Linked DNA regions of Anolis sagrei. The protein of the gene in region 1 purifies or fractionates together with the protein of each later gene. This does not show direct contact. Links are inferred from orthologs where the notes say so. Each region holds a gene or a part of one and is shown in the gene's direction. Other genes may lie near its edges.

Evidence for each region. The genes of interacting proteins can lie anywhere in the genome.
Region 2: the proteins of PPP6R2 (region 1) and ANKRD52 purify together in Homo sapiens (affinity purification with mass spectrometry; 3 studies listed by BioGRID and IntAct, counting the BioPlex papers as one, with this or other methods). This does not show direct contact. The link is inferred for Anolis sagrei from reciprocal best matches to the Homo sapiens genes PPP6R2 and ANKRD52.

The regions. Positions count from the first base shown.
Region 1 is NC_090025.1:200,515,153-200,522,140, forward strand, and holds the start of PPP6R2 (serine/threonine-protein phosphatase 6 regulatory subunit 2), read left to right. Parts: upstream 1-3,967; 5' UTR 3,968-3,985; coding exon of another isoform or gene 3,986-4,162; exon of another isoform or gene 4,163-4,338; intron 4,339-6,988. Other genes in the region: protein DENND6B, read right to left, coding at 552-657, 826-906, 1,001-1,119, 1,267-1,309, 3,834-3,872, 3,986-4,162. UniProt on the Homo sapiens protein: Regulatory subunit of protein phosphatase 6 (PP6). May function as a scaffolding PP6 subunit. Involved in the PP6-mediated dephosphorylation of NFKBIE opposing its degradation in response to TNF-alpha.
Region 2 is NC_090022.1:138,444,259-138,451,613, forward strand, and holds the start of ANKRD52 (serine/threonine-protein phosphatase 6 regulatory ankyrin repeat subunit C), read left to right. Parts: upstream 1-4,341; 5' UTR 4,342-4,521; coding exon 4,522-4,548; intron 4,549-7,355. UniProt on the Homo sapiens protein: Putative regulatory subunit of protein phosphatase 6 (PP6) that may be involved in the recognition of phosphoprotein substrates.

The DNA.
Region 1 (6,988 bases):
ACAGACCCTTCAGGCTGGACAAAGCCACTTGAGCCCACCATCTCTAGCCAGGGACTGGGGATCCCCCCCCCTTCTGCTCAGGCTCTGCTGGCAACACAAGCCAGGCTGCCTCACAGCCCGTGGGCCCCCCCTCTCACCCAAGCCAGGAAAGGTGGCGTGTGCCCCCTCCCCACCACGGACCCTTCAGGCTGGACAAAGCCAGCAAATCAGCAGCCTCTGCCCCACAGACATGGCCCAGGAGGCTCCCCCCCCCCAAAGTGCCCCCTTGCAAAGTGCTGGGCCACTTGAGCCCACCACCTCTAGCCAGGGACTGGGGACCCCCCCCCCCCCTTCTGCTCAGGCTCTGCTGGCAACACAAGCCAGGCTGCCTCACAGCCCGTGGCCCCCCCCTCTCACCCAGGCCAGGAAAGGTGGCGTGTGCCCCCTCCCCACCACGGACCCTTCAGGCTGGACAAAGCCAGCAAATCGGCAGCCTCTGCCCCACAGACATGGCCCAGGAGGCTCCCCCCCCCCCAAAGTGCCCCCTGCAAAGTGCCCCTCCTCCTCCTCACCGGCCTCCAGGCAGGGCTCCAGCTTGTCAAAGTACTCGGGGGCAATGAGCTGCAGCAGAGACTGGAAGAGGTTCACGTAGGGTAGGCGGGAGACCAGCACCAAGGACTGCGACACGGAGGCAGAGGGGGGGGGGGGGAGAAACACGCACACACGTGAAGAGAGAAGTGTCTGTGTCGCTCTCGGAGATACAATCCCCCTTGTAGGGGTCCTGCTGGGCCCGTGGATGTGCACGCATGGGGGGGGGGGGGTTGGGGGGACACGGTGGCCACTCACCTTCTGGAAGTACCCCCTCTTGACGGAGGAGTCCCTGACCTGCCGGAAGTAGACGTAGCCAAAGTAGTGGGCCGTCTCCTGCTGGGAGGGAGAAGGGGAGGAAGAAGGAGGCCCTTGAGGCTTTGTGGCCCCCATTTTGGGCCCAATCCCCAGGCGGGGCCCCTGTGTTCCTGACCTGCAGGGCGGCGGGGGCCTCCTTGCGGCAGGCGGTGGCGCTCTGGGCCCAGGGGCGCTCCCGGAGGCGGGACCCGGACTGGCGGAAGCGGAAGCAGTACTGCGTGTCCCCCAGGCTCCCTGGCAAAGGAAGGAAGGAAGGGAGATGGAAGGGAGTGGCAGGTGAGGGGGGGGGCAGAGGCAGAGAGGACCCCTTCTGGCTGCCTCTCCCCCCCCCCCCCCCCGAGGCTCCCTTTGGCCCCCTTCCGTGCCCCCTTCTCCACTCACCTGAATAGGAATCCGGGAAGGCCAGGTAGCAGATGCTGGTCTTCTGCAGAAAGATCAGAGGAAGTGAGGTGAGGCTGGGGGTGGCCACAGCGTGGGGGGGGGGGGGGAGAGAAAGAGGATGCAGGGCTTGAAGGGAATTGTGTGGGAGGGGGATGAAGGGGCCCCCACTGTGCTGAAAACACAATTCTGAAATACGAAGGCCTGGAACACAACTACACTGCTGAACCGTAATTAAAAGTTGCTCAACTGCTGACGACCACAGAGAAATGATTAACTGCTAAACTTTGGATGAAAAATGTCGTGTTTACGTCATCAGAGGCAATGGCTCCTGAAGTTAAGGGAATGTTTACAAGGTTCCTTACGTTAAGAAGGAAGCCAGCAAGGCTCCTTGAGAAGGGAAACCAAGGGTCAGTTAAGGAAAGTCAGCATCTGCCCAGGAACCGATGGGAGTCACCTTCTTCAACTGTCTTCGGAGAGTGACCCTTTCACCCATTTTGTGTTTGTTCCCATCTACAGTTGTCCTCATGAGGCACTTTCCCCCGTCCTTAATGAATCCTAGAATCCTAGAGTTGGAAGAGACCTGGTGGGCCCTCATCCAGTCCAACCCCATTCTGTCAAGAAGCAGGAATCTTGCATTCAAAGCACCCCTGACAGATGGCCATCCTGCCTCTGTTTCAAAGCTTCCAAAGATGGAGCCTCCACCACGCTCCGGGGCAGAGAGTTCCACTGCTGAACGGCTCTCCTTACAGTCAGGAAGTTCTTCCTCATGTTCAGGTGGAATCTCCTCTCTTGTAGTTTGAAGCCCTTGTTCCCTTGCGTCCTAGTCTCCAGGGAAGCAGAAAACAAGCTTGCTCCCTCCTCCTCCCTGTGGCTTCCTATTTGACTGTGTTTGGCCTTCCTAATGAAGGCCAAACCCCGTCACTGCTCCTCCTCCTTGGCTCCTCCCGCACAAATACAATTCTTCTATCCCGACCTCATCCAAGGCTTTAATATTTTATCTTGTGCATTTGGCCCGCCCTTTGTGATTGACTTTTATTATATCAATGTATTGTTGAAGGCTTTCCACAGATATATAAACCCCTTTTCCTAGTTCCAACAGACCTCACTACCTCTGAGGATGCTTGCCACAGATGCAGGCGAAACGTCAGGAGTGAATACCTCTAGACCAGTGGTTCTCAACCTGTGGGTCCCCAGATGTTTTGGCCTTCAACTCCCAGAAATCCTAACAGCTGGTAAACTGACTGGGGTTCCTGGGAGTTGTAGGCCAAAAACACCTGGAGACCCCAGGTTGAGAACCACTGCTCTAGACCATGGCCATATAGCCCGAAATACCTATAACAACTCAGTTTAATTATATCATTTTGCACTGTTTATTTTACTTTGCTATTTTATGTATTTTGTTGTGATGTAATCTTTCTATTGTGTTGTATTTTATTTTGCTATATTATTTTTGGGCTTGGTCTCATGTTAGCCGCCCCGAGTCCCCTTTAGGGAGATGGTGGCGGGTTATAGATAAAGTTTATTTATTTATTTATTTATTATTCAACGTCTTGGAACAGAATCAGCAGAAATACTGCTCCGTAAGAGACCTTGTAATATTCCTAAAATATTCCTGGTCTGGCCTCCACCAAGCTCTTCTCCATGGGAAGGAGTTGTGTGTCTGGCAGGGAGGCCGGTCTGCCATGCAACGCAGAGCCTGGCCACTTGCTCCTTTCTCAGAGGAAGGGAGAGAATGTGTTTTGGGAGTATGGGGAAAAGGGCAGATTTGCAGGGAAGCAACCGGGCCAAAGTGCAAGTGGTGCCCCCCCCCCATGGCTCTGGAACTCCCTCCCCAGGCTGAACTACATTCATGGAGCCTGGACTGCGGCTGTGTTCTTTCTCAGCCATATTATTTTGTTGTTGTTTACAATTGTGATTGTCTTTATATTTTATCTGATGTTTTTAATTTGATTGTGTTTTATCTGTAATTGTTGTCCCTTGTAAGCTGCCCCGAGTCCCCTTGGGGAGATGGCTGGCGGGGTATAAAAATCAAGTTGTTATTATTATTATTCTCCAAAAGGTTGAAGAAATGGTTGTGTATTTTGTGTGTGTGTGTGTTGGGAGTGGCTTTAGAAACTGCAAGTCGCTTCTGGTGTGAGAGAATTGGTCGCCTGGAAGGACATTGCCCCGGGGACGCTGCCCAGATGTTTTCCCACCCTTGTGGGAGGGAGGCTTCTCTCAGGTCCCCTTTGCATGGGGAGCTGGAGCTGACAGGGGGAGCTCAACCCGCTCTCCCAGGATTCGATTGTGAACTAACCAAGGGAAGCTTTTTAATGTTTGTGAGAGTTTACAAACACCAGCCGCATCTATCCCTGGCCTGGGCCCACTGGGGTCCTCCCTCTGGGGGTTTTGGACTACAACTCCCACCGGCTGTGAGGAACTGTGGGAGTTGTAGTCCAAAACCCCCAGAGGGAGGTCCCCAGTGGGCCCAGGCCTGGTGTTTCCCCTTTAAATCCTATGGCTGTTCCTGATGGGGCGTGGCCTCCCTCCCCGGGGGCGTGGCCTGGCTCCCTGTGGGCGGGGCTTACCTCCTTCTCGCTGAGCGCCGGCTCCGGCGGGTAGACCAGCTGCAAGGGAAGAAGGGAAGGGAGGGAGGGGCGTTAGAGCGGCGAGGAGGGGGCGGGGCCAGACGAGGGGGCGGGGCCAGGGGGCGCCGTGACGTCACCCGCGCTCCTCCCACCTCGATGGCCTGCCCGAGCTCCAGGTCGAAGGTGACTGCGCAGGCGCACTCCAGCCAGGCCGAGAGCCGGGCCCAGGGCTGCGCGGGCGGGGAGGGGGTCTCCTCCTCCTGAGGCGGCGGCGGCGGAAGAGAGGGGCTCCGGGAGGGGAGGGCGCCGCCGCTCGGAGGCTCCTCCATCGCCGGCCCGGGCGGGGAAGCGCCTCAAGCTCCGCCCCTTCCGCTTCCGGGGCTCGCCGCTTCCGGTTCCGGCTGCGCTCCTTGAGGCGTCCATTTTGGAGCCGGAGCCGCCAAGAAGGGAAGCCGAGCAAGAAAGAGGAGGAGGAGGAGGACGACGACGGTGGCGCGGGCCCCGGGTGAGTTCCGCCTCGTTCCTTTCCTCCAGGCCGATCAGGCCCATCCGGGAGGGAGGGAGGGAGGCCTTCCTTCCTTCCTTCCTTGGTGCCTGCAAGGGGCGCCCCAGGGAGAAAGGAGGCCCGGCCTGGCCCCAAGGGAGGAAGAGAGAAAGGAAGAGTCCTGGCGCCTCTTTGCCCGGAATCGCCCTGGCTCTCAATCTGGGCAAAACAAGTAGAGAGCGCGAGGGAGTCTGAGGTGGAAGGGGTCCAGGGGAGGAAGGGGAGGCTCCCCCTCAGAGGGCCACAGCCCTGGAGACCCCGAAGGAAGGAAGGAAGGAGGCTCCCTCGAAGGAGGAGCACCCTGGAGAGACGGGCCTCTTTCGCCCTCAGGGGAGAGGAAAGTGGAGAGGAGCCACGGCTCATAGAATCCTCAAGCTGGAAGAGACCTGGTGGGCCATCATCCAGTCCAACCCCATTCTGCCAAGGAGCAGGACAATCACGTTCAAAGCACCCCTGACAGATGGCCATCCAGCCTCTGTTTCAAAGCCCCCATAGAAGGAGCCTCCACCACACTCCCTCCGGGGCAAAGAGTTCCACTGCTGAACAGCACTTCTTACAGTTAGGAAGTTCTTCCTCATCTTCAGGTGGGATCTCATAAGCTTGAACCCATGGCTCCATTGCGTCCTAGCCTCCAGAGCAGCAGAAAGGAAGCTTGCCCTCTCCTCCCTAGAACATCCCCTCACATATTGATCCATGGCCTTCCTCATGTTTCCTTTCAGCCTTCTCTTCTGCAGACTAAACATGCATAGAATCCTAGAATCAAACAGTTGGAAGAGACCTCCTGGGCCATTCAGTCCAACCCCTTTCTACCAAGAAGCAGGACAATCGCATTCAAATCACCCCTGACAGATGGCCACCCAGCCTCTGCTTAAAAGCCTACAAAGAAGGAGCCTCCACCACTCTCCCACCGGGACAGAGAGTTCCACTGCTGAACAGCTCTCACAGTCAGGAAGTTCTTCCTCACGTTCAGATGGAATCTCCTCTCTTGTAGTTTGAAGCCATGGCTATTGTACTTTGAAACCATGGCTCCATTGCGTCCTAGCCTCCAAGGAAGCAGAAAGGAAGCTTGTTCCCTCTCCCTAGGACTTCCCCTCACATATTTATACATGATCCTGATCATGGCTACTCTTAGTCTGGGCATGTTTAGCCTGAAGAAGAGAAGGCTGAGAGGAGATATGATGAGAGCCGTGTATGAATATGTGAGAGGAAGCCACAGGGAGGAGGAGGGAGCAAGCTTCCTTTCTGCTTCCCCGGAGACTAGGACGCAGTGGAACAATGGCTTCAAACTACAAGAGAGGAGATTCCACCTGAACATGAGGAAGAACTTCCTGACTGTGAGGAATGTTCAGCAGTGGAACTCTCTGCCCCGGGGGGAGTGTGGTGGAGGCTCCTTCTTTGGAAGCTTTGAAACAGAGGCTGGATGGCCATCTGTCAGGGGTGCTTTGAATGCAACATTCCTTCTTCTTGGCAGAATGGAGTTGGACTGGATGATGGCCCAGGAGGTCTCTTCCAACTCTAGGATTCTATGATTCTTCTCTCCTTCAGGCTAAACATGCCCAGCTCCTTAAGCCGCTGCTCATAGGGCTTGTTCTCCAGACCCTTGATCATTTGAGTCACCTTCTTTGTCTGGACACATTCCAGCTTGTCAATATCTCTCTTGAATTGTGGTGCCCAGAATTGGACACAGTGTGATTCCAGGTGTGGTCTGACCAAGGCAGCATAGAGCGTGGGGAGCACGACTTCCCTGGAACTAGACACTAGGCTCCTGTTGATGCAGGCCAAAATCCCATTGGCTTTTTTTGCCACCACATCACACTGTTGGCTCACGTTTAACTAGTTGTCCTTACTTACTTAGGTGATCCCTCATAGTCCGAGGATGATGTTCCTCCAAGAGTGGTAACCTGGGGCTGGGCCCGTAGGTGGCTGTGGAGCCCTATTCTTGATCTGCATCTTCTCCCTTCCGCAGTGAGGGCATCGGTTTCCAGGTGGAAGGTGGTCTTGGTCGGGGTTGGCTTGACGTGCCTTCCTCTTGGCACGCTTCTCCCTTTCGCCCTCCATTCATGCCTCCTCAAATTCTGCAGCACTGCTGGTCACAGCTGACCTCCAGCAGGAGCGCTCAAGGGCCAGGGCTTCCCAGTTCTCAGTGTCTATGCCAGAGTTTTTAAGGCTGGCTTTGAGCCCATCCTTAAATCTCTTTTCCTGTCCACCAACATTCCGTTGTCCGTTCTTGAGTTCGGAGTAGAGCAACTGCTTTGGGAGACGGTGGTCGGGCATCCGGACAACGTGACCAGTCCAGCGGAGTGGATGGCGGAGGAGCATCACTTCAATGCTTCTTCCAGCACGCTGATATTTGTCTGCTTGTCTTCCCAAGAGATTTGCAGGATTTTTCAGAGGCATGTGACGTCTGTAGACTGCCCATGTCTCGCAGGCGTAGAGCAGGGTTGGGAGGGGAATAGCTTTATAGACAAGCACCTTGGTCTCCCTATGGATGTCCCGGTCCTCAAACACTCTCTGCTTCATTTGGAAAAATGCTGCACTCGCAGAGCTCAGGCGGTGTTGTATTTCGGTGACGATGTTGACTTTGGTGGAGAGGTGGCTGCCAAGGTAGCGG
Region 2 (7,355 bases), on another chromosome or scaffold:
CCTGCCATTTCACAGATCCATAGGTTCTCTCTGACATTCATCAGAGTTGGTCTCCAGTTTAAATAAGTTGTGTTATTCTACTACATCATTGTATGTAAGGACACCTGAGCATCCATGGATTTTGGTATTCACGGGGGGGGGGGGGGGGGAGACGTGCCTGGAACTAAATTCCAACAGATACAGAGGGCTACTCTACTTCAATATTGAACAAAATAAGCACAGAAGGAATATGGGATCTGTCCCGCTGAGGTTGCCCAAATCTTTATTAATTTATTTTATTTTTTTATCCTGCCTTTCCCTTGACAATAGGGATTCACAGCATCTGATATATGAGGCTTGCCTCTTTGTGACTAATGCTGGAGATAGTCTTGCTCCCATTTCACAAAGCAGGCCTCACCCCATCTCACAAGGATATGGTCAAATTGCTCAGCCAACTGTGCTTCAGCTCTTTTGTCTTTCTTCAAAAAGGCCTTCTCTAATATAATTTAATGCTAGAGTTAGCCATGGAAAGCTTAGCCTTCCCATATTAATTGAATAGTATCTTAATCCCAAAAACGATATACGAAGCTTTCCACAGCATCAAGGTAAACACCACTGCTAATATCTGGATAATATGAAAGCGAAAGCTGGCAACCTTCAATCTATTGTTTGCAGTACAGTGGAGTTCTCAATGAGGAGCGGAGAATGCCAATGGAGAGGTATAGCACCCTCTACTGGGTCTCTGCAATAAAGGTAACTTCAGGAACACATCTTGTAAAGGCAACACATGTATTTGAGGATGGGTACTTTGTTGCCAAATAGAAAGGTGTAATAAACACATGTAAATTATTGAAAGCTTGAGTCTGAGCTGAAAAAACACCTCGTTGTTGTTGTTGTTGTAAATGACCCAATGAATGAGAGTCCTCTACATCCACATTGTACAATTAATGCAATTTGATACCACTTTAACTACCCTGGCTCAAGGATAGGGCATCATGAGAGTTGTGATTTCACAAGGTCTTTAGCCTTCTCTGCCAGAGTGCTGTTGCCTCACCAAACTCCAACTCCCAGGATCCCATAGCAGTCAACTAATGATGGGTTTTTTTTGTTTTTGTTTTTGTTTTGCCGTGTCAGGTCTGATTTGAGAAACTGCAAGCCGCTTCTAGTGTGAGAGAATTGGCCGTCTGCAAGGACATTGCCCAAGGGACACCCGGATGTTTTGATGTTTTACCACCCTTGTGGGAGGCTTCTCTCGTGTCCCCGCATGGAGAGCTGGAGCTGATAGAGGGACTCATCCACACTCTTCCTGGATTTGAATCTCTGACCTGTCGGTCTTCAGTCCTGCTGGCACAAGGGTTTAACCCACTGCGCCACCAGGGGCTCTATCAAGGCTGTTAAAGTGGTGTCAAACAAAGTGCAGATGGACATCAACATCCCTGCTCAGATTTTCAGACTCAGGGCCATGGCTTTCTTGACTGAGTTCACCCATCTCTAATGTGGCTTTTCATGGACAGCCATCCAAGGCCTCATAGGGGGTTAATGTACCCACCATCACCTTCCAGAGCTGCCCTCTCCTGCAATAAAACATGGGCAGAATATCAATAGCATCCTCTTAAAATGTCTTGGTTGGTGGGCTCTTCCCACCGATGTTTATACAGTATGTGAAAGATAAATACAACAGAGAAGAGCATCTTTCCCTGCAATAAAATTATGTAATGCATACATTTTCTTGGAAGATATTCAAGTTTCAACATGGTGCAGTCAGCCCTTCACCTTCATTGGAGTTAGGGGCTTCCTGATGTGGGGGAATAGCAACACCCCCCACGTGTTTCAGGATTCAGCAACATATTTGTGTTCATTGGTTACAGCTCTCTTTCTCCTTTTGTTCCAGGAAAACTTGCAGTGGTACGGGAGATGATGGCTTGCAGATTGGCACTTTGCCCCATACTACCATTTTGAGTAATACTGGGTAAAACAATCACTTTCCCCTTTGAAATGAAACACCGAGCCTTATAAAACCTTTCTCATAATTTCCCACTTCCATAGCATTATATCAGACATTGTATCATACATTGCCAGCCAAATACAACTGTGATGCCAGCTTTCAATTTGTAAAGATATATTTTCTTCTTCACAGTATACAGTGTAGTCTGTACAGCCTAATCCTGTGAATGTGTACTCAAAGTTTGTCTTTAACATGGGTAATAGCAGACAATATTAATAGCCCTATATTGTTGTTTATTGCTTTCAGGCCTATGTCTCAAGTATTCACTCTTGAACTGAACATTAGGACCTCATCTGGTTAGGCACACAAAACCTTGGGATGTGACTGTTGATTAGGCTCCATCTACACTGCTATATAATGCAGTTCGAAACCATTTTATATGGTAGTATAGACCCATCTTAATAGACCCATATTAAGATAATTGGGGGAGGGAGTTACAAAAGAAGAAAGAAAAAGAAAAGAAATTAAATAGATTATAGATTTATAGGCTGTTAAGGGTTAGGGAGGAGGGAAGGAATTGCAAAGAAGAAGAAGAAGACCACCAACATTCTGTTTTCCATTCCTGAGTTGGGATTATAGTCACTGCTATTTTGTTGTTGATTCATTCATTCATTCCCTTCCAACTCTTCGTGACACCTCCCCCAGCTCCTTCAAGGTCCAGCCAGTCACTTCAAAGGTACTATCCATCCATCTTGCCCTTGGTCGGTACCTCTTCTTTTTTCCTTCCATTTTTCCCAGCATCATTATCTTCTCCAAGCTTTCCTGTCTTCTCATGATGTGACCAAAGTACTTCTTCTTTGCCTCTAATATCCTTCCCTACAGTGAACAGCTGGGTATTATTTCCTGGAGTATGGACTTCTTATGGTCCAAAGCACTCTCATAATTTTCCTCTAGCACCACAGTTCAAAAGCATCTATCTTCCTTCGCTCAGCCTTCCTTATGGCCCAGCTCTCACATCCGTAGGTGACTATGGAGAATACCATTGCTTTAACTATATGGATCTTCGTTGCCAGGGTGATGTCTCTTTGTTGTTGTTCATTTGTTCAGTTGCTTCTGACTCTTCGTGACCTCATGGGCCAGCCCACGCCAGAGCTCTCTGTCAGCTGTCACCATCCCCAGCTCCTTCAGGGTCCAGCCAGTCCCTTCAAGGATGCCATCTACCCATCTTGCCCTTGGTTGGCCCCTCTTCCTTTTTCCTTCCATTTTCCCCAGCATCATGATCTTCTCCAAGCTTTCCTGTCTTCAGGATGTGGCCAAAGTACTTCATCTTTGTCTCTACTACCCTTCCCTACAGTGAGCAGCTGGGTATTATTTCCTGGAGTATGGACTTCTTATGGTCCAAAGCACTCTCTCAATTTTCCTCCAACACAACAGTTCAACAGTGTCTATCTTCCTTATGGCCCAGCTCTCACATCCATAGGTTTCTATGGGGAATACCCAGGGGCGGCTCAACCCATTACACAAAGTAAGCATTCGCAGTATAGTTGATTTTGGCCAGGGGCGCTCTTGAGGCGCTCTTGGGGGAAAATAGACCTTGACATATGTGAGTTCGGTTGTAGTTACTGGGATTTATAGTTCACCTAAAATCAAAGAGCATTCTGAACTCCACCAATGATAGAATTGAACCAAATATGGCACACAGAACTCCCACAACGAACAGAAAATATAGATCAGTGATTGGTTGGGGTGGGGGGACCAAAATATTGTTTGCTTACGTTGAAAATTACCTAGGGCTGCCTCTGGGAATACCATTGCTTTAACTATGCGGATCTTTGTTGCCAGTGTGATGTCTCTACTCTTCACTATTTTATCAAGATTGGGCATTGCTCTCCTCCCAAGAAGCAAACGTCTTCTGATTTCCTGGCTGAGGTCTGCATCTGCAGTTATCTTTGCTCCTAGAAATACAAAGTCTGTCACTGCCTGCACGTTTTCTCCTTCTGCTTGCCAGTTATCAATCAGTCTGGTTGCCAGAATCTTGGTTTTTTTGATGTTTAACTGCGACCCAGCCTTTGCACATTCTTCTTTCACCTTGTGTATGCAACTTGCCAAGTGTATGCAATTTAACAAGAAGGCTGCTCAGCTCCTCCTCGCTTTCGAGCATCAAAGTGGCATCATCTGCTGGAAGGAGCACAATACACAGATTTGCCGGGTCAGCGCATGCGCACAATGGCTGTTCTCCGAGGGCCGTGAGCTCAGACTCGCCTGCCTCCTTCTGCTCCGGGGCCTGCAGTGGCGGGGCCGGCCCGCTAGGGGCGCTCTCCCGGCGGGGCCTGCTCTCTTTCTCGCCCGCCTGCCTGCCTGCCTTCCTGCGAAGGGAGGGCGGGCTCAGTCCCTCCTCCTCCTCCTCCTCCTCCTCCTCCTCCTCCTCCTCCCTCTGCTGCTGCTCCTGCCTCGGCGCTGCCTCTCCGGGAGCCTGCCTGCTTGCTTGCCTGCGTGCCGCGGCGGCCACTGAAGCGCCATCGATGCCGGGAGCGCGGAGGCGGCGGTGGCGGCGCTCCTGCTGCTGCTGAGCGAGGTGGGGGCGGCCCCGCCCGGAGATGGGGATCCTCAGCATCACGGACCAGGTATCCCGCGGGAACGCCGAGGCCTCCCCCTCCCTCCCGGCCGCGCCCGCCACGCGAGCCTGGGGATGCGCGGCCTAGTCCGGAGCCGCCCCTTCCTCGCTCGGCGGGAAACTCCCCTCCCCGCCTCCCCCAGCCTCCTTGGCCCCGCCGCCCCAGAGGAACCCCCTCCTCAGTGGGGGAAGCCAGGAGAAGGAGAGGAGGAGGAAGGCGGGCCTCGGCAACGCCCGCCTTTCCCGCCCAAGGAGGCGCAGCAGCGCGGCAGGCAGGCAGGCCTCCCTCCTCCTCCTCCTCTCCTCACTGTGGATGGACGCAGTTTGGCCCCGCTCTCGCGGCCATGGCTCGAGGCTAGCGGACCCACTTTGCAAGGCCTTCAGCCCAAGAGGGATGAAAGCGCGTCAACAAAAAGCCACAGCTCCCAGGATTCCATAGCATTGAGCCCTGGCGCCCCAGGGAGAACGCGGCGTCCCTTCTCTTGCTCTTCCTTTCTTCCTTCCTTCCTTCCTTCCTTCCTTCCTTCTTTTCCAGTCCTTGCCGGGTTGCCTTCCACGGCGCCCCCTCCCCCGGCCATGATGCCAAGGCCGCATTCGGGGAGGGAGCCTCGTCGCCGCCACCGCCGCCGCCTCAGGGCGCGTCTGCACTGTCGAACTAATGCAGTTGGACACCGCTTGAACTTCACTGGCCCCATGCTATGTCATCCCCGGAGTTGTAGTTTGGAAAGGCACCAGTTTTAGGAAAGCATGATCTTTTAGAGATCAAATTACTAGAGGTTGTAATTTCCAACAACTAGTATCCTTTGGATTATTTAAAGAATCACGGAATCTAGGTTGTAGATTTTTTTTGGGCTGTATGGCCATATTCTAGAGGCATTCTCTCCTGACGTTTCGCCTGCATCTGTGGCAAGCATCATCAGAGCCTCAGGCCCCTTCCTTCCCCCCCTCAGCCGCTTAAGCTGAGGCTCTGAAGATGCTTGCCACAGATGCAGGCGAAACGTCAGAAGAGAACATGGCCATACAGCCTAAAAAACCTGCAACAACCCAGTGATTCCTGCCATGAAAGCCTTCAACAATACATAATCACAGGATTCCCCATGGTGCAATGGGTTAAACCCTTGTGCTAGCTGAATCCGGGGAGCGCCCTCTGTCAGCTTCAGCTTCCCATGCATGGACATGAGAGAAGTCTCCCACAAGGAGGGTAAAACATCAAAAACATCCGTGTGTCTCCTGGGAATGTCCTTGCAGATGGCCAATTATCTCATACCAGAAGTGACTTGCAGTTTCTCAAGTTTCTCCTGACATGGAGGGAAAAAAAAGAATTACAGAGTTGGAAAAACCACAAAGGTCATCCAATCCGTTCTGGGAATCACTGGGTTGCTGTGAGTTTTTCAGGCTGTATGGCCATGTTCCTGCAGCATCCTCTCCAGCAGCATCCTCTCCTCCGTGATTGTAGGAATCACTAAGTTGCTATCAGTTTTTCAGGCTTATGGCCATGCTCCAGCAGCATTCTCTCCTGAAGTTTCACCTGCATCTGTGGCTGGCATCTTCAGACGAACCTTCAGATGTGGCTGATATCTTCAGAGGCTCATCTGAAGATGCAGCGGAACGTCAGGAGAGAATGCTGCTGGAGCATGGCCATAAGCTTGACAAACTGATAGCAACTCAGTGGTTCCTACAACGGACTGGATGAAGGAAACAATGAAAATGAACAAAATCTGGCTATCAGTATTTTTAAAAAAACTCTAAAATCACATCAGCAAATAAAGAAAAACACTTTGAAAACACAGGAATTCCAGACAAGAAAAATCAGGCCTCTCAACTAAGGATTCCCCCAGGCAGGAAGCAGCCAGGCTTTGAAGCTGCAAGGCTTTTCAATGCTAGTCAAGGTGATTAATTGCACCATTCACACTTGCCTCCAACATACAAGAGTTCTTTCTCCATCTCTGGATCTTCCACAGATATATAAACCTCTCTCACTTAGTTCCAATATACCTCAGAACCTCTGAAGGTGCTGCTGTAGATGTGGGTGAAACGTCAGGCGAGAATGACCATTGGGGGTGCTTTGAATGCAGTTTTCCTGCTTCTTGGCAGGGGGTTGGACTGGATGGCCCACAAGGTCTCTTCCAGCTCTATAATTCTATGAATGCTTCTGGAACATGGCCATGCAGCCCGGATAACTCACATCAGCCCAGGATTGGATGATTTTTGCAATCTTTCCTACTTTGTAATTCTACAAGCTGTAGTTATCTGCAAAACTCACAGTAACTCATCATCCAGTCCAATCCCATTCTGCCATGCACATAATCAAAGCACCCCCAACAGATGGCCATACAACCTCTGCTTAAAAACATCCAGAGAAGGAGACTGCACCACACTCTGAGGTAGCACATTCCACTGCTCTTACCTTCAGGAAGTTCTTCCAAATGTTCAGGTGGAATAATTTTTCCCACAATTTGAATCCACTGCTCTGTGTCCTAGTCTCCAGATATGCAGAAAACAAGCTTGCCCCCTCCTCAGTGTAACATCCTTCCATAGCATTGAGCCATGGCAGTTCAAGTGGTGTCAAATGGCATTAATTCTGCAATGTAGATGCATGCTCTCTTCTCCAGGAAGTGGAGCAAGGAAGATTTTTTTTCTCCAGAGGTCGTTTCTCCTCTCCGCTCCTCTGTTGTGAAAGGAAAATTCGGTACAATTCCTCTATCTGTCTTAAAGGCAGGCTTGGGATCCAAGTGGCAACACTATTTCTTGGGCACTGTCTAGTGCTGCACCTCGCTCTGCCTCTCCCTCCAGATTGAGGGGCTTCCTCTTTTGTAT